7 linked regions of the Rattus norvegicus genome follow. Each later gene encodes a partner of the first gene's protein in a complex. Links are inferred from orthologs where the notes say so. Each region holds a gene or a part of one and is shown in the gene's direction. Other genes may lie near its edges. The genes, in order: Med24, Ccnc, Med21, Med13l, Med12, Med18 and Med26.

The links.
Region 2: Med24 (region 1) and Ccnc share a complex: the UniProt entries of both Homo sapiens proteins name them as parts of the mediator complex. The link is inferred for Rattus norvegicus from reciprocal best matches to the Homo sapiens genes MED24 and CCNC.
Region 3: Med24 (region 1) and Med21 share a complex: the UniProt entries of both Homo sapiens proteins name them as parts of the mediator complex. The link is inferred for Rattus norvegicus from reciprocal best matches to the Homo sapiens genes MED24 and MED21.
Region 4: Med24 (region 1) and Med13l share a complex: the UniProt entries of both Homo sapiens proteins name them as parts of the mediator complex. The link is inferred for Rattus norvegicus from reciprocal best matches to the Homo sapiens genes MED24 and MED13L.
Region 5: Med24 (region 1) and Med12 share a complex: the UniProt entries of both Homo sapiens proteins name them as parts of the mediator complex. The link is inferred for Rattus norvegicus from reciprocal best matches to the Homo sapiens genes MED24 and MED12.
Region 6: Med24 (region 1) and Med18 share a complex: the UniProt entries of both Homo sapiens proteins name them as parts of the mediator complex. The link is inferred for Rattus norvegicus from reciprocal best matches to the Homo sapiens genes MED24 and MED18.
Region 7: Med24 (region 1) and Med26 share a complex: the UniProt entries of both Homo sapiens proteins name them as parts of the mediator complex. The link is inferred for Rattus norvegicus from reciprocal best matches to the Homo sapiens genes MED24 and MED26.

Annotation. Positions count from the first base shown.
Region 1 is NC_086028.1:84,162,380-84,165,879, reverse strand, and holds part of Med24 (mediator of RNA polymerase II transcription subunit 24), read left to right. Parts: intron 1-1,642; coding exon 1,643-1,907; intron 1,908-2,284; coding exon 2,285-2,466; intron 2,467-2,638; coding exon 2,639-2,729; intron 2,730-3,181; coding exon 3,182-3,281; intron 3,282-3,500. UniProt on the Homo sapiens protein: Component of the Mediator complex, a coactivator involved in the regulated transcription of nearly all RNA polymerase II-dependent genes.
Region 2 is NC_086023.1:40,066,683-40,070,182, forward strand, and holds part of Ccnc (cyclin-C), read left to right. Parts: intron 1-685; coding exon 686-770; intron 771-951; coding exon 952-1,021; intron 1,022-2,476; exon of another isoform or gene 2,477-2,526; intron 2,527-3,500. UniProt on the Homo sapiens protein: Component of the Mediator complex, a coactivator involved in regulated gene transcription of nearly all RNA polymerase II-dependent genes.
Region 3 is NC_086022.1:181,294,274-181,296,504, forward strand, and holds part of Med21 (mediator of RNA polymerase II transcription subunit 21), read left to right. Parts: intron 1-1,964; coding exon 1,965-2,079; intron 2,080-2,231. UniProt on the Homo sapiens protein: Component of the Mediator complex, a coactivator involved in the regulated transcription of nearly all RNA polymerase II-dependent genes.
Region 4 is NC_086030.1:43,491,320-43,494,819, reverse strand, and holds part of Med13l (mediator of RNA polymerase II transcription subunit 13-like), read left to right. Parts: intron 1-442; coding exon 443-663; intron 664-932; coding exon 933-1,138; intron 1,139-3,500. UniProt on the Homo sapiens protein: Component of the Mediator complex, a coactivator involved in the regulated transcription of nearly all RNA polymerase II-dependent genes.
Region 5 is NC_086039.1:70,461,810-70,465,043, forward strand, and holds part of Med12 (mediator of RNA polymerase II transcription subunit 12), read left to right. Parts: intron 1-1,040; coding exon 1,041-1,418; intron 1,419-1,638; coding exon 1,639-1,789; intron 1,790-1,931; coding exon 1,932-2,137; intron 2,138-2,298; coding exon 2,299-2,376; intron 2,377-2,463; coding exon 2,464-2,681; intron 2,682-3,234. UniProt on the Homo sapiens protein: Component of the Mediator complex, a coactivator involved in the regulated transcription of nearly all RNA polymerase II-dependent genes.
Region 6 is NC_086023.1:149,946,847-149,949,672, reverse strand, and holds the end of Med18 (mediator of RNA polymerase II transcription subunit 18), read left to right. Parts: intron 1-594; exon of another isoform or gene 595-1,032; coding exon of another isoform or gene 1,033-1,084; coding exon 1,085-1,638; 3' UTR 1,639-2,326; downstream 2,327-2,826. UniProt on the Homo sapiens protein: Component of the Mediator complex, a coactivator involved in the regulated transcription of nearly all RNA polymerase II-dependent genes.
Region 7 is NC_086034.1:17,332,545-17,336,569, forward strand, and holds the start of Med26 (mediator of RNA polymerase II transcription subunit 26), read left to right. Parts: upstream 1-1,225; 5' UTR 1,226-1,493; coding exon 1,494-1,565; intron 1,566-1,589; exon of another isoform or gene 1,590-4,025. UniProt on the Homo sapiens protein: Component of the Mediator complex, a coactivator involved in the regulated transcription of nearly all RNA polymerase II-dependent genes.

The DNA of each region.
Region 1 (3,500 bases):
ACCTTGCTGTGCTGCCCAGGCCGTGCCCAGTTAGGGTGGCTGGACTCTCCTTTCCCTCTCGGCTTACGGCTTCCCTTCCCTACCACTCCCTCACATTCTTTGTCACACACTCATTCAACTGGCACAGCAGGTAGTTGGTGTCTCTCTGGATCGAGAGGGTTTTAACCCTGCAGTCCATGAGTGGGAAATATGGACCCCAGACAGCTTGGCTTCTGTCCTCAAAGACTCCAAGTTGTAGAGAACCAGCTGAGGCAGAAGAGCAAAGGGATTATATGGCTGTGTCACTGTCGAGGAACTCTGAGGCATCTGCAGTTTTTATAGCTGCCCTCCCCCACCCCCAGCTGTCCTGGTGACCATTTCAAGTACTGGCTCTTGAGGGACTTCCGCCACACGGGCTGGTGGTGTCCGTTCATTCCCCCCAACTGTTAGGTTGTTGGGCTGTTGGTTTTTAAATGTGGCGTGAAGCACATAATAGAAAATTTGCCATTTCAACTGTGTTTGTGTGTCACTCAGGATGTGGGTTGTGACACAGATCTCCAGACATTTTCATCTTGTGTATCCGAGCCTTTTAGCCAATAAGCAACTGTCTACCCCCCCTTCTGGGTTCCCGGCAGCTACCGTGCTGCTGTCTGTCCCTCTGAGCAACTACACTAGATACTTCGTATAACTAGAATTACGTAATACCTGCTTTTTCATGACTGACTGACTTTACTCAGCATAATTTCCTCAAAATTCATTCATACTCTGGCATGTGACAGGATTTCCTTCCTTTTAAGGCTGAGTAACATTGCATATCCGTGCCCCTCAAGGGGACTTGGAGAGAGTTGCTGTGTATGTGGGGCTGGGCTGGCTTGCAGGGCAGCTGCTGAAGATGCTTTCTGAGGGACATATGGAAACAGCCCAAGCAAAGTTTGGGGAGGCTCTGTACACTCTTATCTGCACTCCCCTGCCTGTGGGACATCATCCAAATTAAGTGTGTATAACACACACACACACACACACACACTATAACACACACACACGCATGCACGCACGCACGCGCGCACACACACAAATACACACGTACACACACACACACATTAGCACACGGGCACAGAGGGGCTCTGAAAGTCAAGGTTGCACTCTCTGCACCCTGACATCCCAGCAGTTAGTACTCAGACCCCAGCTGTGTTTGCAGCCCAGATGTTCCCAAGAGGATTCCAGGCCGTGCACATTTTGCCCAGCTGCCCAGGGCCGGGAAGAGTCTCATGGGGCAGCCTAAAGGCCTCTCCTGGAAGTTACAGTTTACTTTGGGAGGGTGCCAGGGCTGGGTCGGACCCCCTCCCCCAAGTGCTCAGCTTAAGTGGAAGTGATTGTGTTTATTTATGACCCTGATTTGGCAGTGCTCAGGCCTGGGGGAGGGGACAAGGGGATGGGGATGTTGAGGGGAGGAGAAACAGAAAATCTGAGTGGATTGATGGAATCTGCAAGAGAAGAAAATCCTGGTCTGTGCCTCTCCTAGGCTTCAGGCCTGGCAAGTGAGCTCCTCGCCAGGAGTGAACTGTATTGTCCTCCCCAGCATACTATGGGTCTAATTCCTCAGCCATGTTTCCGTAACCCAACCCAGGGGTAATGCCTGCATGTACCCTCCCTGCTCCCCTAGGGTGGTGATTATGAACTCAATCTTGGAACACATGTGTGCGGACGTGCTACAGCAGACAGCCACGCAGATCAAGTTTCCATCCACGGGCGTGGACACAATGCCCTACTGGAACCTGCTTCCTCCCAAGCGTCCCATCAAGGAGGTACTGACAGACATCTTTGCCAAGGTACTGGAGAAGGGCTGGGTGGACAGCCGCTCCATTCACATCCTTGACACCCTGCTGCACATGGGTGGCGTCTACTGGTTCTGCAACAACCTGATTAAGGTACTAGGGCTGGGGTACATGTGGACAGCCATATAGATAAGGGCAGTAGACATCATCGGTTGGGATAGACCGGGCTGGGGTGCATGTGGACAGCCAGCTGGACAGGGGGAGGAGATGTCATCAGCTGGGATAGGCTGGGCTGGGGTGTATGTGGACAAGCCAGGTGGACAGGGACAGGAGACATCATTGTCTGGGATAGGCCAGGCTTCTTTGAGAGATTGCTAGAAGCTGGGTGGTCTCCTGGGGAGATAGGGCTTCACCTCAGAGAAGCACCTTGGGAGTTAGGGTTGAATAGCACCTTTGGCTGCTGAGGTGGTTAGAGCATCAGAATCCTAGGGTCCAGGCAGCACCTCAGGAGCCACTCGCCTGCCTCTCAGGAACTGCTGAAGGAGACTCGCAAGGAGCACACGCTAAGGGCAGTTCAACTATTGTACTCCATCTTCTGTCTGGACATGCAACAAGTGACCCTGGTTCTGCTGGGCCACATCCTGCCTGGGCTGCTTACTGACTCCTCCAAGTGGCACAGCCTCATGGACCCTCCTGGCACCGCACTAGCCAAGTAGGATTCTCTCCAGAGCTTTTCTTGAGCCCCAAGCATCTAGCATCCAGATTCAGTCTGGTGTCACCCAGGATCTGGGTGGGAGTGAGGGACAGAAGGGGCTCCTTCACTGTGAACATGTAGCTTCTTCTGGGACCGACTTAACTATGCCTTTTCCTGGAACCTTTGCTAGGCTAGCCGTTTGGTGTGCCCTGAGTTCTTACTCTTCCCACAAGGGACAGGCATCCTCACGCCAGAAGAAGAGGCACAGAGAAGACATAGAGGTAGGCCTGCTGCTGACTTGGTCATGTGTTTATTCAGCAAACATTTTCTTTTTTTCTTTTTTTTTTTCCGGAGCTGGGACTGAACTCAGGGCCTTGCGCTTGCTAGGCAAGCGCTCTACCACTGAGCTAAATCCCCAACCCAGCAAACATTTTCTGATCGCTTAAAGCAGAGGTGCTCTCCCAGCCAGAGGTTGGGGCTAAGGTCATCTGTGTGTGGGCCTGTCTGATTGGTCAGGGTCTAGAGGAGTGGCTTGAGTGGTCCTCTGAGTATCCTTGATGAGGATCCTTTTCTGCTCACTGGGCAGAGATTGGGGTATGGGAAGGGTCACCACTGGTAACGCTGGCCAAGGACTGTAGGAAGCTCACTTCTCCAGTCAGATCTGCCCTCCAGTCCTCTCCAGCTCCTGGAGACTTAGGAAGTCGAGTGTGTGACAGTGACTCCTTGTCCCCAGGATTATATCAGCCTCTTCCCTGTGGAGGACATGCAGCCTTCAAAGCTTATGCGGCTCCTGAGCTCCAATGAGGATGATGCCAGCATCCTGTCAAGTCCTAGTGAGCACTTGGGGATCATGGGCCTGCCCAGGACTCACTCCTCCCTCACGAGCTTCCTCGACTCCCAGCTCATGGCCGTCTGGCAGAGCAGGAGCTTGCACTTCTCTGTCCCTAGTGGGTGCTCTGACCCCACAGGTCCTCCTCCCTTATCACTGGTGGGAGGGTGGCGAGGCATTTAGTGAGTTCACCAGCTTGACACAGCTTGTACCACTGACTCAC
Region 2 (3,500 bases), on another chromosome or scaffold:
TTGTCATTTTGCCTTATAACTTTGCATTAGCAAGAAGGAGATTTAATCAAGAGCCCTTTACTGTGTCTGGGATAGCTTTGCTGCCTGTTCTTTTGTTTGTTTGTGTTGTTTGTTTATTGTATTTATCTTATGTGATTTGCACTTTGCCGGTATCTGGGCAGTTATCTGCTGTGCCTGATGCTGAGGAAGTTAGGATCTCCTGACGGAGTTACAGAGGACTATGAGCCACCATGTAGGTGTTAAGAATGGAACCCAGGTCTTATGCTCTTGACTCCTGAGCCATCTCCCCATCCTGTCACCTAGCTTTAATTCCGTTATTCTCTGCAATCCTACCTTGTCCTTATATCAAAGATTAACTATGGATTTCTTGGTAAATAACAATATCTGTCTTAATTTTTAAGCTACTCTATAGCTATTATGAAAAGCATTAAAATATGTAGTAAAGAAAGAATATTTGATACTCAGCCTGCTTATATTGCAAGGATAAATTGCAGGCAGTTTCTCTTATTGTTTATGAATATTGCTGCATTTGTAAGTCTTAGACTACTGGAGTTCAGAGGGTGTCAGAGTGTGCCTAGATGTGAAATGGTCATGATTGCAACGTAGAAATCACTAATAAAACTTAAGGTTATTAGTGTTGGTATACTGATGACAGATGGTACATTTAAACGTATTCTTTTTTTAGTTATCCAAGCATTAGGGGAACATCTTAAATTAAGACAACAAGTTATTGCTACTGCTACAGTCTATTTCAAGAGATTCTATGCCAGGTATGGTTGTTTTATTTATTATTTTTAATGCCTGGTTGGAATTCTTTTCTAATTTCCATGTACAATATATAAAATAAGTAAATCACTTGTTTACTGTAGAATTATGATTCCCAAAGTCCACCCCCACCCCAGTGTGTTTTCTAAATAGTCATCATTTAACTCTTGTCTAATCATATTTTAGGTATTCTCTGAAAAGTATAGATCCTGTATTAATGGCTCCTACATGTGTGTTTCTGGCATCCAAAGTAGAGGTATAAAACAATTTTCTGTTCTTCATGAAAATATTGATATGTCTGGTTTATCATAGATAGATAGATAGATAGATAGATAGATAAATAGATAGATAAATAGATAGATAGATAGATATTGCTTTTGTATGGTTAATCATAGTTATCCTATGATAGTTTATAGGAACTAATATGCACATCTTGAAAATGTTTTTATTTTTTTAATAAATATTTTATGTATCAGATGATTTAATGAGCCCTTTGCAAGTTCTTTTTTTTTCTTTTTTTTTTCATCTTTATTAACTTGGGTATTTCTTATTTACATCTCTATTCCTTTGCAAGTTCTAATTCAATCCTGTAACTCTGGAGTATATGGCAGTAGTATCCATGTGGGGTCAAAGGACCAAAGACCCTGACCCTGGTTTGACCCTGAGATCAGGGCCAGGGAAAGAACACCTTGACTTGAGCCCAAGCAAGAAACCAAGGCCAAGAAAAAGAATCCTTCCAGTCCCTGAGTTTGCCCCAAGATCAGGCCCATGCTACCCTGGAAAACAATCCTGCCCCCCACCCTCAAATACAGCCTACCTTCTTAGGTTTCTGCTGCTTCTCCTCCTTACCCAAGCAGGGTTGCAAACACCTTCTCTTGTCATTCCCAATAAGTCTTTATGTGAACTTTGTTGTGCAGTGTGACTTTGTGGTATTCCTTGGCTCCTGACTGGGAAGATGCCTTTCCTTCAGAGATGCAACACTGGGGAAAGGAATCCCCTCAGAACTGTAGCATTTACAATTGTCATTTTAGAAATGAGGAAACTAGGGCATAGAGAGAGCAGTGTTCGTATACTGGGTCAGTGGTTCCAATAGTCTAGATCTTCATCCTGTAACTTAATTGCTTGCTGTCTTTAAAAGACTATTTATCTGAGTGTGGTGGTGCATGCCTTTAATCCCAGCACCTGGGAGGCAGAGGCAGGTGGATCTCTATGTATTCAAGGCCAGCTTGAACCACAGTGAATTCTAAGTTCCAAGATAGCCAGAGGTTTGTAGTAAGACCCAGTCTTAAAACAACCAAAAAAAAAAAAAAAAAAAAAAAAAAAAAAGAAAAGAAAAAAGAAAAAGAAAGAAAGAAAACAAAGGAGGTAGCACAGCTTATCTACTATGGCCTGAGAATGTCTCTGCTCCTCACCCACATGCTTTTTGTTTACACCTGACTTCTCTGGTAACAAGCCACTGTGGGAGAGCAAAAAGGTAGAAAAGACTTTATAGACTCCAGCAAGGAAGTGTGGATAGTGAGAGCAGAAAAGGTAAGTAAGAGAAGACAGAGAAGGACTTGGACTGGGAACTGCATTTCTGCTCAACTTACTGTTTGCAATATTATTGAGAAAGTGTAACTACCCCCTAAAGCCCAAATAGTAGCAGATTCTGAGAACTGGCTTTTTTCTTAGCTAATCCACACAATTCCTAGTCTATTGTTTCTGTTCTTAGGTAATGTCTTTAGGATAATTGTATCCATGTGAATTGAATGACTTTAACCAGTAAGTTTGTTTCTTTTGTGTTCATTTTATCTTAGAAACATTCATGACATCTTGATTATCTCTTAAGTATGCAGAATTGAATATATTAGAATACTAAAACCCTTTCTAGGAACCTAAGTTAACTCTGTCCATGAGAGAGATAAAGTTTGAATAAATCTAGTTATAAGTCAGTCTATAAACAAGTCAGTTATAGTGTTTACCTAGTTCCCATGAGGCCTGGTTTCAGTCCTGAGGACCAGATGTGTATCGAATGTCTTTTTGAATAAAGAGGTCTTGTAGATGAGGTGTATTTTTAGTTGTGGTTGTTGAGTTACTTTTTCTTAAAGTTTTTTTTTATACAATGTATTTTGACCATGTTTTCTCCCCTACCCTAGCTTCTCGCAGATCCTTTTCCCTACTCACCCAGCTTAGTGTTCATTTTCTGTGTCTCAAACAAAGCAAAAACTAAAACAAAAAACATAAGACAAATATCGAAACAAAGCCAGTAAGAAACAAAAAAGCCTTCAAAAAAAAAAAAAAATCAAGCAACCAAGGACAAAAGCCATGTAGTTAATTTTGTGTTGTCCAACTATTCCTGGGCCTGGGGACTGCTTTAGAGTGTGTTGATTTGACTAGGGTCACTCCATTGGACCTTTGCCAGTAGGTATCAATTCCAGGTAGCATTTTCATTTACCCTCTCAGTATGTTGCATTACATTTTAACTCTAACCAAATCTTTCTGTTTTGTCTAATTGATTAGAAATTGTGGGCAAAATCATGTTTAACATACTATCTTCAGTTTTGAGTTTTTAGTTTTAATTATTGGGTTTTGAAGGTTAAATATAAATATATGTGCGCACATAAAGTTATAGATTACGTTTTTGTTTTTTTTTTTTTTTTTTTTTGGTTCTTTTTTTCAGAGCTGGGGACCGAACCCAGGGCCTTGCGCTTCCTAGGCAAGCGCTCTACCACTGAGCTAAATCCCCAACCCCAGAT
Region 3 (2,231 bases), on another chromosome or scaffold:
AGGTGGTAGTAATGCACACTCTTAATCTCAGCACTCTGGAGGCAGAGACAGGATGTCTGAGTTAAAACCAGCCTGGTCTATACAGAGTGAGTCCAGGACAGCAAGGGATACACAGAGAAACCCTGTCTTGGGCAGTAATTTTGTTTGGAATAAGTTTGGCGTATATATCTCAGTACTTATAAAAGGAAAAGGAAGATTACTCTTGCTTGGTTTTTTTTTTTTGTTGTTGTTGTTTGGTTGGTTGGTTTTGGTTTGTTTTTTTTCTTTCTTTCTTTTTCTTTTTTTTTTTTTTTTACTTTCTTTTATTGAGACAGGTTCTCATGTAGCCCAGGTTGTCCTCAAAAACATCTCTGAGGATATCCTTGAAATTCTCATCCTCCTGCCTCCAGGTCCTGGGTTTACAGGTGTGTGCTACCACCTACAGTTTAAGCAGTGCTATGGATCAAACCCAGGGCTTCATGTATGCTATGTAAACAACCATCTGAACTCTGTGTGTGTGTGTACAGGTGCATTTAACCTGTATACATTTATGTAGAGGCCAGAGTTATCTGAGGGTATTTTTCTTATTTATTTATTTATTTATCTATTTATTTATTTGTGTATTTATTTATGACAAGGACTCTCAGTGAGCAGAAAGCTCACATTTTCAACTAGATTAGCTCTCCAGTGAGAACCTAGGGTCTCTGTTGTGGATACAGGGGAACCAACTTTGTGTTTGGTGGTTTTGGTTTTAAAAATTAGCATATGGGACTGGAGAAATGGCTCAGCAGTTAAGAGCTTAGCTGTTCTTTCAGAGCATCTGGATTTAACTCCTAACATCCACATGGTGGTTCACAACTATCTAAAACTCTAGTCCCAGATGATCTGATGGCCTCTGTGGGCACTGAATGCTCATGGTCCTCATACATACACACAGACAAAACACTCATACACATAAATAAAATCAGCATAAAAATGGTTTAGCGGCTGGCAGAGTGGCTCAGCTGAGTAAGTAAAGACTCTGCCCCTAGATCTGACCTGATTTTGAACCTCAGGACCCACACTATAGAAGAAAAGAACAGACTCTTACAACAGTCATTTTTGCAATTCAAATTGACTTTGTTGTCTACTAGTTCAACCACTTTGGTGTCTTAGGATTTGTTTGTTGAGTTTGAAGGAGACATTTCCTTCTTTCTTTTTTTAATATGTATGATGATTTTTTTTTCTACATGTGTACCATGTGGGTGCCTGGTGCCTGTAGAGTCTAGAAGAGGACATTAGGTCCCCTGAGATTAGAGTTATGGCTGTGAGCTGCCATGTGGGTTCTGGAAGTTGAATCCAGGTCCTCTGCAAAAGCAACCAGTGCTCTTACCCATTCAGCCCGTGTTTTCTCTATTGCCGTTTGCGTATCTGCTGGGATGGAGAGAGCTCAGTCTCCAGAGCCACTCAGAACAAATCATTTACAGCTGAGTCTTTGGTTTTCTTGTAGTACAACCCTGGCTGGCCTTGAGCTCAGAGATCAGCCTGCCTCTGCCTCCCAGGTGCTAGCATTAAAGGTGTTAGACGACATAACCTGGCTTTCATGTATTTATTCCTTAAGCTAGATTAATACCAAATTTAATTTACCTAGATTCATATTTGTTTGTATGATTAAACCATTTAATCCAAACTAGATGTAAATAAATCCCTGAAGAGTGGGTGTTTTAGCTGCAGCCTGTGATACTGGGCTCATTTTATTTCAGACTATCCCTTTGTCTGACTGGTTTGTATGGAGAACATTGTTATGAAGAGGTCGTTGCCATTTTTGGTTCTTTTTTTTTTTTTTTTTTTTTCCGGAGCTGGGGACCGAACCCAGGACCTTGCGCTTCCTAGGCAAGCGCTCTACCACTGAGCTAAATCCACAACCCCGGTCGTTGCCATTTTTAATAAAATCCTTAACATTGACAGATCTTTGTAACCTTGACCTTTTTTTCCTTTTGCTCAAGCTTGCAGATCAGTTTTGCAATGCCATTGGTGTATTACAGCAGTGTGGTCCCCCTGCCTCTTTTAGTAACATTCAGACAGCAATTAATAAAGATCAACCAGCCAATCCTACAGAAGGTGAGCTCTGCTTAGTTTGACTGGCATTTTTTTCTACAATTTATAGCTTGTTTGTAAAAAATGTGACTGTGATTAGAGTATATTGCTCTAAGTTTTGCCATAGATTCTTTATTTATTTATTTTTTTTACATATATTTGGTGTATATGTGGGT
Region 4 (3,500 bases), on another chromosome or scaffold:
CTATTATTACTTAACTCTAAAATTGTATGGCTAGAAAGACAGTGTGAGATCATTCCCCAAAGAGCAGGACTGTGTGATTCAGTCACCCACCCCCCAGGCTTGCTCTAAATAATTTTTATTCTCTTACTATTTCATAAACGTCTGGAGATGGAGATAGACTTTCATAAGTAGTGTAGTTGGAGAGCTTTCACTTTCTTCTCCACCCGTCTCCTTCAGGTCTTAGAGTCAACTATGGGAAGGAAAGCATGCTCTGCAGACCCTGGTGACTGAATTAGCATGACACCATACAGCATGAAGAGGGGGTCCCAGGGACGTGTGGACGCCTGAGCGTGACCTGTGTCTTGAAAGTCCGTTAGCCTTGTGTGGATACTGCTGTGCCTGGCTGCTTGTCAGAGCTTTTCGGAATCTTGCTGTTAAGATGCACTTTTAATTTTGTTTTTAGCAGTTGCAGACTTGCAAAGGATGTTCCCCACCCCTCCATCATTGGAACAGCATCCTGCATTTTCCCCGGTGATGAATTACAAAGATGGAGTGAGTTCAGAGACAGTGACTGCATTGGGCATGCTGGAGAGCCCTGTGGTCAGTATGGTCCCCACACACCTCACGGAGTTCCGGATGGAAGTGGAAGATGGCTTAGGAAGTCCCAAGCCAGAGGACATAAAGGTAATGACCAGTGTGTGCGCTTCCCCATGGCTGGGCGGCTTCTCGGTGGCGCCCACACACGCGTGTGTAAGGGCTGTTGAAGCCGGAGCCCGTCAGTAGACGGACACTGACCGCTGCTCACCAGCAGTGAGGGCATTAGGTTTTCCCTCTCACTCCGTCATGTAGAGAGCTGTTTCTACAGCAGATTCTGTGCCCGGGTTTTAGGAAGCGCTGAGCACCCAGGGCTGGCTTCGGCGTGCCAGCATTAACCCAGCCCCTCATTGTCACAGGACTTTTCCTACGTGCACAGAGTGCCGCAGTTCCAGCCTTTCGTGGGCTCTTCTATGTTTGCTCCACTGAAGACGCTGCCAAGCCATTGCCTGCTGCCTCTGAAGACACCGGATGCCTGTCTGTTCCGGCCCTCATGGGCGGTTCCTCCGAAAATGGAGCAGCTGCCCATGCCCCCTGCAGCCTCTTCCATTAGAGACGGCTACAAGTACGTGCGCAGCTCTACCACTTACCGCATGCGATGCAACCATGCTGGTTTCCAAGTGCTCGTCACAGGGCCACGGCAGCTCAGGCTCAGACTGGTTTCTTGCTTACTCTCGTTTGTGACCATGTTGTCTTTTGCAGGACCGTGTGTTTATTTTTAAATGAGATTTCCTCTGTGCGTGAGCGCGTGTGTCTCTCTGTGCATGAGCGTGTGTGTAGACAAATTAAGATTATTTCAGAGAGCTGTGTGTAAGTGTAATGTGGCGTTTGCCGTAGAACCTACCTCCGATTGGAGTTGCTGATGGTTGTCAGTAGTGGGAGGAGCTTTGGTTTGTGTAAGGTAATGATTTCAGCGTGGGACTTTAAAGTTAGGTAATACAGTAACAGATTGAGGCGTGATTGGGAAAAGTAAAGGGAGAAATTGCTGGTGACTTGGTGTCTCGTCTGCCCAGAGAAACAATATTTGTATCAGCAGTGCAAACTCTGTTTTCTTTGAAAGAAAGAACTTCTTCCTCAGATAAAGCAAAAATTTACAAACACAAATGTGTGTCCGGGCCATGTGCATGTGTGGATGGACCAGCGCTTTGCCAGTCTCACTGCAGGGATTGTGGAGATGAGTGGGCTCCAGCACTTGCCCCTTCTCAGGGACCGTTGTCAGGCAGGGAGACTGACTGTATGTTGGCCCATCTGAGCCAGCAGCGAACTCAAAGATGATGAGCCTTAGGAGCGAGTAAACCAGTTCTGCCTCAGGGCTCATTCTGGCCATGTGTCTGTGATAGACACCAGCAGTTTACATGGTGTCAGCTTGAGGAGCTGGGTGGGAAGGGGCAGAAGGACCCTGGACTTGGAAGCCAGCACCTATGCCATGTGACAGTTCTGCCTCCTGAAAAGACTGTGGGCTTGAAGGACCCTGGCCCTGGATATTCCGCTCCTTCCAGTAGATTATTCTCCCCAGAGCTGTGGGAATGTTCCAGCAGCCAATGACTGCAGACCGCAGTGGGGAAGGGAAAGGACTGCCAGGCCGGCTGCCCTGGGAGTGCCTGGCCGGGCTCTGCCAAGCTCTATTTGGGCTCTAGCTGCTGAGCGAGGTCCTGGAGCCTCAGCCCCAGACTCTCTGGACAGGTTCTGATAGTCTTCACTCTCTGAGTGGCCACTCCCACCCATCCATCGCCTTCCCCCTATACCCTCTGCAGCCAGAGGTTAGACTGGCGGCCTGGTGGAGCCTGTGCTAAGGGAAGAGATTTTGCTCACACTGTCTGATGTGGCTGTGGCCAGTGTTGGCTCCTTATCATGTGGCTAGTGGGTTCTTAGCTCTGCTTCCCTTAAAACTAGCCCTGGGGTCTGGGAACTGCTTTACCAGGTGGCACAGCTTGGCACTGCCAGGTCCTGCTGTGCTCTCCAGTGCCACTGCACTGGGCTTGCCTGTCATGCTTGGTATACTTGCTGATGCTTGCTTCTGTCTCTCTGCTGACTGCCCCACTTTTCACTCAGGATTGGTTTCCAGTTCCTTCTTAGGAAACAGGGAAGAATGAGGCTGCTAAGTAAGATGAACTGTTTTCTACCTAGGGAACAAGTGAAGTATTTAGATTTTCAGCTAGCAATCATGGTTCTGTTTTAATCCACTGTAAAATCATTTTAGGATCTTGTTGACCAGCAAAATTTAAAGGAATCCAATAAATGTACAGATAGTTATTTATTGCACCATTCAGTTTCTCTGTCAGCTTTTGTCTGAACCCAAGAAATCCTTGTAAGTCAAAGTTTATGTAATTACTGCCTGGTTCAGATACCTGAGCCAATGGTACAAGTTCTAAAAGACTGCAGGGCGATGGCTTGTGGAAGTAAATGGGTGTGAAGCTCACTGAGGAGCACAGGCTTCATGTGTCGAGTCATTAGGACTGAAGTCCTTGCGAGTGCACATAGTGAGCTTGAGCCTGTGCGCTGTCTACAGGCCTGTGGGAGTTGTTGAGGGTGTGCTTCAGGGCAGCTTTAGAGTGGCAGGGCATGCACATGCTGCAGACGTGATCTCCCCAAGCCACTGCTCATGAGATAAACAGCCCTGTCTGTCTCAGAACTGAGAGAGATTGAAGGAAGAAGGGGACCCTCAGGGACCTCTTGGTGTGTCCTTCCCAGTGACTGCTGAGTGACAGACACTAAGCCCTGTGCTAGACAGACAGATGGGCACAGCAGTCACACAGTGCTGGGGACACTCACGCCTTACCAGGGCTACCATCTGACTTAGGAAAGCACCACATTTGAATGTGGATTTGGTTACAGCCACTTCAGTATCATTGCAGAGTTGTGGCCTCTAGGAAAAGTGCACAGGCAGAGACGCAAAGCCGTAGCTGTAGAGTGGACGCAAACCCAGC
Region 5 (3,234 bases), on another chromosome or scaffold:
TACTGTTCTGCCTGTCTCAGTCCCCTCTGACTTTTCTCCATGCCCTGCCCCCCTCTCTGCCCCACTGTTTTCTCATTTCCCAGCATTCTGTTGGCTCCTTGTCTCTTTTCTCCATGTCTCTCTACTTGCCCAGCTCAGCTTCCTATTATTTTTTATGTTGGTTTCAGTATTTGGATTTAAAGCATTATGTGCTTGGGTATGTGTAGGCCATGTCCATGTGCAGGTGCCCACAGAGACCGGGAGTTGGAGTTCCATGTGGTTGTGAACCACCTGATGTGGGTTCTGGGAAACAGACCTGAGTCCTATGCAAGAGTAGCAAGGGCTCTTAGCCACAGGCCTTCTATCAAGCACTTGGTTGAGTGTTTCCTTGATTAACCATTTATTCTTCATAGCGGAGAGAGAAGGGGGGATACAGAGGTTCAAATGCAAAGCAAAGCTCCTCAGTGTACACATTCTCGTAATTCCTTTCTTATCATGTTTCTCTCCTCTGGCTGCTCTCCGTCTCTCTGTCCCTATCCCTGTCTTTCTCTTCCTGTTTCTCTCTGACTGCCTCTCTTTGCCCTCTTTAATTTTTCCTTCTCTCTCCTCTCCTCTTCTCTCCTTCCCGTTTTCTCTCCTCTCCCTTCTTTCCCTCCCCTCTCTCTGGCTTCTTTCTTTCCCTCATCTTCTGTCAGCTTCTCTCCTCCCCTCCATCTCTGTTTCCTTATCTGCCTCTTTAGTACCCTCTTTCTCTCCTGGTGTCCCCTTTCCCCTTTGCCCCCTTCTCCTTCAGTTCAGCTCTGCCCCAGGCAGAGTGTGTGTCCTTCATGTATCTCTGTGTTAGTGTCTCTCTCTTCTTCTCCTTCAGTTCAACTGTGCCCAGGCAGAGTCTGTCCTTCATGTATCTCTGTGTTAGTGTCTCTCTCCTCTTCTCCTCACATCCCCGATTACTTACCACTCTTTCATACTTTGAAAACTTATCAACAGATAGTTTGCCCTTTCTAGACATCCTCCTATTTTCCAAGTCTCGGTGGCTCATTGTTTCTCCTTTGCTGGAGCAGGGTCTACAAGTTTCCACCAAACAAAAGATCTCTCCTTGGGAGCTTTTTGAGGGCCTGAAGCCATCAACAGCACCACTATCATGGGCCTGGTTTGGCACAGTCCGAGTGGACCGCCGAGTGGCACGAGGGGAGGAGCAGCAACGACTGTTGCTCTACCATACCCACCTGAGGCCTCGACCCAGAGCCTATTACCTGGAGCCACTACCTCTGCCCCCAGAAGATGAGGAGCCACCAGCCCCTGCCCTACTAGAGCCTGAGAAAAAGGCTCCTGAGCCCCCCAAGACTGACAAACCAGGGACTGCTCCTCCCAGCACAGAGGAGCGCAAGAAGAAATCTACCAAGGGCAAGAAACGCAGTCAGCCAGCCACCAAGAGCGAGGCCAGTCCCCATCCCACCCAAGCCCTTTTCCTGACTTCATGTGTAGTTGGAAGCTAAAGTTCCTGCTTTATGGGAGGTGTGCAGTACATAGGGAAGAGGTGCCATTAGAATCATGATCCAGTGAATTGGATCAGTACCGCTCCTCCTTACACCCTCCTCCCTCACCTCCCCACCCAGAACTGCTGTAAGTCACTTACCTTTGTCCTCTGCACCCATACAGGACTATGGCATGGGGCCAGGTCGGAGTGGTCCCTATGGTGTGACAGTGCCTCCAGACCTTCTACACCATGCAAATCCAGGTTCTATATCCCACCTTAGCTACAGGCAGAGCTCCATGGGCCTGTACACCCAAAACCAGCCACTGCCTGCTGGTAAGTACTAGTCACTAGGATTGGTGGAGTTGAACATTCCTCCCTTCCCAGGGGAAATGTCGATGGCTGGAACTGTTAAAAAAAAAAAAATGAGGCTGAAGGGATAAGGATCTCCGAGAGGTCAATTTGTTCTCCTTTCCAGGTGGCCCTCGTGTGGACCCATATCGCCCTGTGCGATTACCAATGCAGAAGCTGCCAACTCGACCAACTTACCCCGGTGTGCTGCCTACAACTATGACTACTGTCATGGGCCTAGAACCCTCTTCTTATAAGACCTCTGTGTACCGGCAGCAGCAACCCACAGTGCCCCAGGGACAGCGCCTTCGCCAACAGCTCCAGGCAAAGATAGTGAGAGGGGCAGTAGGGAGGACTGCCAGGGAGAGGGGTTTTGGTGGGTCAGAGGACTGAGGAGATACTTGGAACCTTCACAGGAGCATGCAGGGTCAGAGGTATAAAAGAGACATGGCAGAAAGCATTTCCTGAACTTGAGTTCTCCTTTTTCCCTTTAGCAGAGTCAGGGAATGTTGGGACAGTCATCTGTCCATCAGATGACTCCTAGTTCTTCCTATGGTTTGCAGAGTTCCCAGGTAAGTGCCTGAGACTAGTAACCTCAGGGAGAGGGAAGCGAGTTGCTGTACTTCCTCATTCCCCAGATCTCTCCTCCTTCCCTCCAGGGCTATACGTCCTATGTCTCTCATGTGGGATTGCAGCAACACACAGGCCCTGCAGGTACCATGGTGCCCCCCAGCTACTCCAGCCAGCCTTATCAGAGCACCCACCCTTCTACCAATCCTACTCTTGTAGATCCTACCCGTCACCTGCAACAGCGGCCCAGTGGCTATGTGCATCAGCAGGCCCCAACCTATGGGCATGGACTGACTTCCACTCAAAGGTACCCAAAGTAGTAGTGAACTGGCAAGGGATACTGAGGTATAAGCAGGTATAAGCAAGCATCTGATTTGGGAAACCCTGTACTTGAAGGTGATAAATGGGCCTGAACTTTGGGAGGCATTAAGAACACTAATCTGGTCATGTAAGTATTGCCACAAATGACCTGAGTTGGAAGAAATCCTTGAGGAACTGACAGAAGAAACAAATATCTAACTTTGATAAGAACCTGGGGTTTATAGATACAGTATATGATACAGACTGCTAAATCCAGAATTAAACAGTTAACACCAGGACTGAGGATAAGGTTTACTTGATAGCATGCTTACTTAGCATGCATGATGTCTCGAGTCTGATCCTTAGCCCTACACAAAGCCTGCTATGTCATGCACAACTGCAGTGGTAGCACGCAAGAGGTACAGGGAGGAGGTCTTCCTTGGCTACATAATGGTTTGAGGCCAGTCTGAGCTACATGAGACCCTTTCTCAAGGGGAGAAAAAGCAGTTGTACTCTAGGATGGACTAACAAATGAATTTCATGGTTAATTTTAGTCAAAT
Region 6 (2,826 bases), on another chromosome or scaffold:
CCTCAGTCCTTTTTTATTTTTTTTAAAGATTTAAAATACCATTTTAAATTCTGTGCGAATGTGTTTCAGGGGACAGTATGTACATGTGAGGCTGGAAGTGTTGGGATCCTTGGAGTTGAGTTACTGGCAGTCAGGAGCCACTTGATGTGGGTGGGACTGAACCCAGGTGCAAGAGCAGGACAAACTCTGCACCTCCGAGCCGTTTTCCCAGCCCGAGTCTCCTGAGTGCCCTCATGCCTGGCTCAGTAGAACAACGCTGCTTTGCTGGTGTTAATCTTTTTTTTTTTCTAGTACTAGGAATCGAACCCAGAGCCTTGCGCATTAGTCCTTGGCCACTAAGCTCCATCCCTCAGCTGTGGTCCTTGGCGCCGTGATCATACCCAAGGCCTTGCATTCGGAACCCAGGGCCTCCCACAGGTGTACACCCAGCCATAATGGTTTATTTCTAGCCAACGAAATTCTTCCATTTGTGGAATTACAAATTCAGGTTTTCCTTTTGACTTAATGATCCTTCAGAACACAGCTGGGTGTGGTGATGCGTGTCTTCCCCCCCCCCCCCCCCCCCCCGCCCGCCCGCCCCTTTATCCCTTTAAGACAGGCAGGTCTGGAGCTACAGCCTGATCCACTGACAGAGAAAGATGGGGCCTGGCTTTGAAAACTCCCATTGACACACTTCCTCCTACAAGGACATAATTCCTAACCCTTCCCTAAACGATACCAGGTAAGAGACGAGACACTCAAGTACGGGAGCCTGTGTGGGCCATTCCCAAGCACATCATCACCAGGTATTTGCTACTAAGCCTGACCACCTGTGTTGGACCTGTGGACCCCACAGGAGGAGGAGACTCAGTTCTAGCAGTTCATCCTCCAGCCAGCATTCCCGTGCCACTGTATTCTCGTGTTTGCCAAGACGTGAAAGGCTAAATGTAAGGAAGGTTTGAATAAACAGATAACTAGAATCCCGTGGGTTGTTCTTATGAAAGATCGCATAGGACTATTTATTTGTCGACTGTGTTTATTTTTGCTAGTTTCATGACTCGAAATGAAATGGAAGCCTGGACTCATTGTGCCTTTGCCTCCTCAGGGAGTGTTTTAGACCACAGTTTGGAAAGTCTGATCCATCGCCTCCGTGGTTTGTGTGACAACATGGAGCCTGAGACTTTTCTCGATCACGAGATGGTCTTCCTGCTTAAGGGCCAGCAGGCCAGCCCGTTCGTCCTAAGGGCCCGGCGCTCCATGGATAGGGCAGGGGCGCCCTGGCATCTGCGTTACCTGGGACAGCCCGAAATGGGAGACAAGAACCGCCATGCCCTGGTGCGCAACTGCGTGGACATCGCCACGTCTGAGAACCTCACGGACTTCCTGATGGAAATGGGCTTCCGCATGGACCATGAGTTCGTCGCCAAAGGACACCTGTTCCGGAAGGGCATCATGAAGATTGTGGTGTACAAGATTTTCCGAATCCTGGTCCCAGGGAACACAGACAGCACTGAGGCCCTGTCGCTCTCTTATCTTGTGGAATTAAGTGTTGTCGCACCAGCTGGGCAGGACATGGTCTCTGATGACATGAGGAACTTTGCAGAGCAGCTCAAACCTCTGGTTCACCTAGAAAAAATAGACCCTAAAAGGCTGATGTGAGGAAGAAAGTCTGTCGGCCTTTGAGACCTGTCCTCACGTGGGAGGTGAGAGATCCCACAAGTACCCTAGGTACTGATGCCAGCCAGGCCACTTCCTTCTGGAAGATGGATGGTGAGAATTTGGTTCCTTTGAACTGTTTCCTTCACCTGGTAATTCCTTCCTTCCTTCCTTCCTCCCTTCCTTCCTTCCTTCCTTCCTTCCTTCCTTCCTTTTTTCCTTCCTTTCTTTCCTTTCTTTGTTGTCTGTCTGTCTTCCTTTCTTTTTTCAACAGGGTTTTACCATGTAGCCCTGGCTCCCCTGGAACTCACTACATAAACTAGCTAGCCTGGAACTCAGAGGTCCCTGTCCTGTCCGCCTAGGTGCCTGTGTTAAGGGTCCTTATTGAACCCGACTGTTCATCTTCTTGACAGTCTTTTCCAATGAAAGACCCAGTATAATATGGAGAATTGTTCAAGTCTTCCCTCCACCCAAAAAGAGGGAACTGGAATACATTAGCTTTTTAGAGGGAAAAGTCAAAAAACAACTGATAATTGTTTTTCTTTTGTTTTTTAAGAAAAGTATTTTCTCATTCCTTTATTTATTTGTTGTTTTCTTCATATTTTTTAATTGTGTTGTTTTGCCATTACTATTCAAGGTTCATAATGGTGGTGTGAGCTGGCATTGTGGGGCAATAAAGACTGAAAAGACACAGCTGTGATTCTGATTCTTACTCAGCTCCTTACTATTTTACTTAGGTATTTGCTATTACTGTGTTACTGTCTTGTGGGATGATGTCACAGGTGAGGCAGGCACAAGATAGAAGGAGGCCTGTCATTGGATGAGAAGGAAGGATGGGCGGGAGAAAAAGTTTGAAGGAAGAGGAGGGGACAGAAATGGAAGAGACCGGAGGGACAAGGAGAGAACCGTGGCAGGACAATATGGCGGGTGACGTTAAGATTCCACGCTGCACCTTCACAGGTTGTTACAAATGTTCTTAAGGGATGGATGTGCACTGGGCTTTGTATGTTTAGGTGGGCAATTATATCTTATCAATTGGGCCAAAGGTTATTGTGTTGTGTGTTCTTTCATGTAGCAATTTAAGTGTAAGAAAATGTGCAGCGGCTGGTCTGGGCCGCCACAGAGTTGGGATGTGTGTTTCTGGCATGGAAACCTGCCTTGGGAACTAGATAGGTAGAGAGATCGCTGCCA
Region 7 (4,025 bases), on another chromosome or scaffold:
CTCCAGCACTCCCTAGAAGTATAACAAATTAAAATTAACAGGTGTCCCGCAGCTCTCAGGAGTACATGTGATTTTCATTACCTGTTTCCCTTCCGTTTCATGTCTGGATTTTTAAGGTTACGACACAAAACGAAAGTTATTTCTCCCGAAGCCACTGTAATACAGTGCGCTAAACTCGGAGCCCGCCCTCCCACTCCACCTGCCGGAGACCACAGCCCTTATACTTGATATCCTTCGTTTCTTGGTTTGACCTAAAACTCACGGTGACCTTGGCGCTTCCCTTCCTCCTCGGTGAGGCGTTCCTGTTTTCCAGTGGCTGGGGTGCAAAGCAGGGATCGTTCCGTCCGCTCCGAATGCGGAGGGGACGATGCTGAGCGATGGTTCCGCATCCTGTTGTGCAGACAAAGACTGGCCACCTCCAGTTCGCCTCTCAGGAGGGCTACAAGAGCGGTGCTTCAACGCAAGGCCCTGGGTTCGGTCCCCAGCTCCGAAAAAAAGAATTAAAAAAAAAAAAAAAAGAGCGGTGCTTCTTCTTGAGTTCCAGCCCCTCGTGGATGCACAGCCAAGGTGTCAGCGTCGCGCATGCCTTGCAGACTCGAGCCCTCGGCGGAGGCGGCAGCTCCCATACGTGCCCTTAGGTCCCAGCAGCGCGCGGGTCACATGGGGACACTCACTGCCCTGCAGATCCGCGCCTGGGGCCTCTGCAGCGGCGACGGCTGCGCCTAGATTCTCCGAGCTACTCGCCGCACGGGTCTCAACGCAGACAACCGCTGCCCTTCTTAGTGTCCCTATGGCCGCTCCAATCCTCTGATTCCTCAAAGCTAGAGGTCCTCATCCGGTGGAGGGTCTTACCATTCCGCAACCCCAAAGCAGTTAGCAGGAAGAGCCGGTGTTCCAGGACTTGGCATGTGAGCTTCCGTTAGGAAGCCCCGCCCCCTAGTCCGGAGTGGGCGTGACCTTCGGATAGCGTCCGTTGCCACGCCCAACCGTCTCCCAACGGCTCTCTGGATCCGGCCTTAGAACCCGGCGGCAGGACCTGATAAGTGCGCATGCGTGCGCGTGCGCAGAATCAATGGGCGGGGCTCACAAGCCGGCCCCTCCCAAACCCGGCGTCTCCACCCGCCCCCATCTCCCAACCTCCTCAGCGTGGCGCCGACGCTGCGTGCGGCGCGGGTTACCCAGAGTGCTCAGCGCGGGGGCAGCTCACTGGAGTTTGGTTCTCGAGGCGGCGGCGGCGGCGGTAGTGGCGGAGGCTTCTCCGTCGGCTCCTCCTCCTCCTTGCTCGGCGGTGGCGGCGGCGGTCCGGGGCCTGAGCTCCGGTCCCCTCCGCTTTCCTCCGTCCTCCGCCATCTCCCCGAGCGCCTCGACCTCCTCTGGCGCCGCGGGGAACATGCGGCTCCGTTCCCGGAGGCCGGCGAGTGACTGACCTGCGTCCCCCCTCCTCAGCCTGCCCGCCCGCCGGCCCGGCCGCTCCCCCCCGCTTCGCCCAGGCAATGACAGCGGCTCCGGCGTCTCCGCAGCAGATGAGGGACCGGCTGCTACAGGCCATCGACTCCCAGAGCAACGTAAGTGACTGCCGCGCGATCGGGGACCGAGGCCGCATGTGTCGGGACCCTCCCCCTCCGACGCGCCCCTGCCAGGGGTTCTCTCCGGGCGGTGATCTGCCCGCCACGGCCGCTGCCATCTCGGTGTCTCGTTCTCCTGGGTCCGGAGGCCGAAGGCAAGGCGGGTACCCCGGCAGCTGAGGGTACCTGAGGCCGAGGCTTCACGCGGCCTGGACTGAGGGATCGTTCGGAGCTTTGATGAGAGCTGGTTCTCCTCGGTTGTCCCAGCCCGGCTGCCCTTGGTGCTCCCCACCGTGCCCTTCTTGCCTCACCCCAACCCCGGGAACTGAGAACCCCCCGGAAAGGTCTCCCTGCCGGGGGACAAGGTAGAAAGCAACTGGTGTCTCCGCGATGACTCGGGTAGCCCGCGTCTCTGGAGTCTTGGCCTTTACTCCCCCTCGGTCTTCTAGCGAATCCCCTTCTTGGATTCGTAGGGAACCCTAGGCCTGTTCTGCCATCAGTCTGTCTTCCTGTGATGCCTGGAGAGTATCCTCTCTTCTGATAGTGGGTCGCTTCCTAGAAAAGACGACTCTGCAGAGAGTGGGACCCTTCCTGTCACCTCTCTTGGCCTAAATGCTCCATTGCGCGTCTGACCAGTAGCTAAAGCCTGGGATTTTAGTACTGAAATACTGCCGATCACAGTAGATTGTTCTCTTATCCCTATCTTCCGGTCCTCTTTCCATCTCTCTTGCTCCACCTGAGGTGCTTTGGACTCTAGGCTGTCAAGATTTAATTGTAAGGGATCACACTTTCCTCTGTCAAGAGTCCTGTGAGCAGTAGGACGCCTTTTTTCTTCCTGTGTGAGTGTAGACTAATTTTACTTGTTCTTGTATTTTTTCCAAAGGTTTGTTGGCAGTGCAGGGGGCGGGTGTCCTTGTTGCTGTCAGGAGTAGGGCCATGGGAAGATGCACAGGCATTCAGATATGAAGTGTTTGCTGGGAAACCAGGAAGTGGCTTTTGAGATCACTTTTTAATATGCCCAGGATGGAAGAAAAAAAATCATCTTGGACCAGGTAACAGAGGTTTGAACCTTTTTGGGTTCCCTTGCCTATGCTTGGCTAGTTACTTGTAGCAATGTGCTGTATTGTGTGTTCAGAATAATTCACATTGTTTGTGTGGTCTTGGTAGAAATAGAGATGTTCTAGTTTCTATGAGAATCTACTTGCCAGATTCAAAATTATTCTCTTCCTAGTCTTTAGGATCACGTCGATAGTAATTTAGTAAATATTGTAGACTTTTTTTTTTTTTTTGTGGTGGAATAGAGACAGGCTAGATAAAAATCTTCTAGAAAACCTTTCTTTTTTGGGGGGCGGGTTTAAGGGTTTTTTGTTTTGTTTTGTTTTTTGCCAGTGATTGGTAATAGCTGACTAATCACATGATTGATATATTAGGATATTAAAAGGTAAAAATAAGTGATAGGAAAACATAGCCTTGATGGCTTTTGCATCTTTGCTGAAGCTATAGTGTATAGTGTAATCTTTTTGATGTTGTTTTTCGAGAAGGGTTCCTCTTCTGTGTAGGTCTGGCTATCCTAGAACTTGCTCTTTGACCATGCTGCTGGCCTCAGAGATTCTCCTGCCTTTTCCTTCTGAGTGCTGGGATTAAATGCTTGCACTATCACTGCTCCTCTCTTCCACATTGTAAATCTTACACCTGTGTAACTCCTTGCTGAGATCTTCTCAGAGATCCTGACTGCTTGCATGTGAGAGTGTTGGGATCAGCAAGTGCTTTGACAGGTAGTCATGATGTTGTAGATCAGGTGGGGTCCAAGTGCTAGGTAAGGGTCTGACTAAAAGACCCTTTGGGGATAGAAGAAGGAAGATAGAGGGCCCAAATTTTAGTTTGTGTCTTTTTTCTGAGACTGTCTCTGGAAGTCACTATGTATGTAAACCAGGGTGTCCTCACAGAACCTGTCTGCTTTTACCTGCTTTAATCCCAAATGCTGGGATTAAAGGTATGTGCCACCATGCTTGGCCTCCAACTTTAGTTTCTTGAATCTTCCCTTGGTCCTAAGTGCTCATTGGCCTGTGAGTAAGTTGCTTGGAGTGTGTATCTCAAAGGGCTGTAGTGATAGGAGACCTTGTTGTGGCTGGAGTTGAGAACTTATCTCTGAGTGAGGAGGGGAGTGTTTCCCTAGATGCAATGTGTCAGTGACTATCCACAAAAACAACTAGGTATATGTTCTAGGGGCTAGCTTTGCAGAATCTCTTTGTAGAATCAGCCTGGAGCACTGTCCTCCATTTCTTGCTGAGGGGTGCCCGGCCATTTGCATTGTCTCTGTGATTGTTCAGGGCCCAGGTAAGAGCCGCATGTTGGTGCAGGGATCTCTGCTCTTGCTCTGATCTGCCCAGTTATGAGCTCCACCACTTGGTAATTGACACATATTTAGGATGTTCATGGAAAAAATACAAAACGGGGACA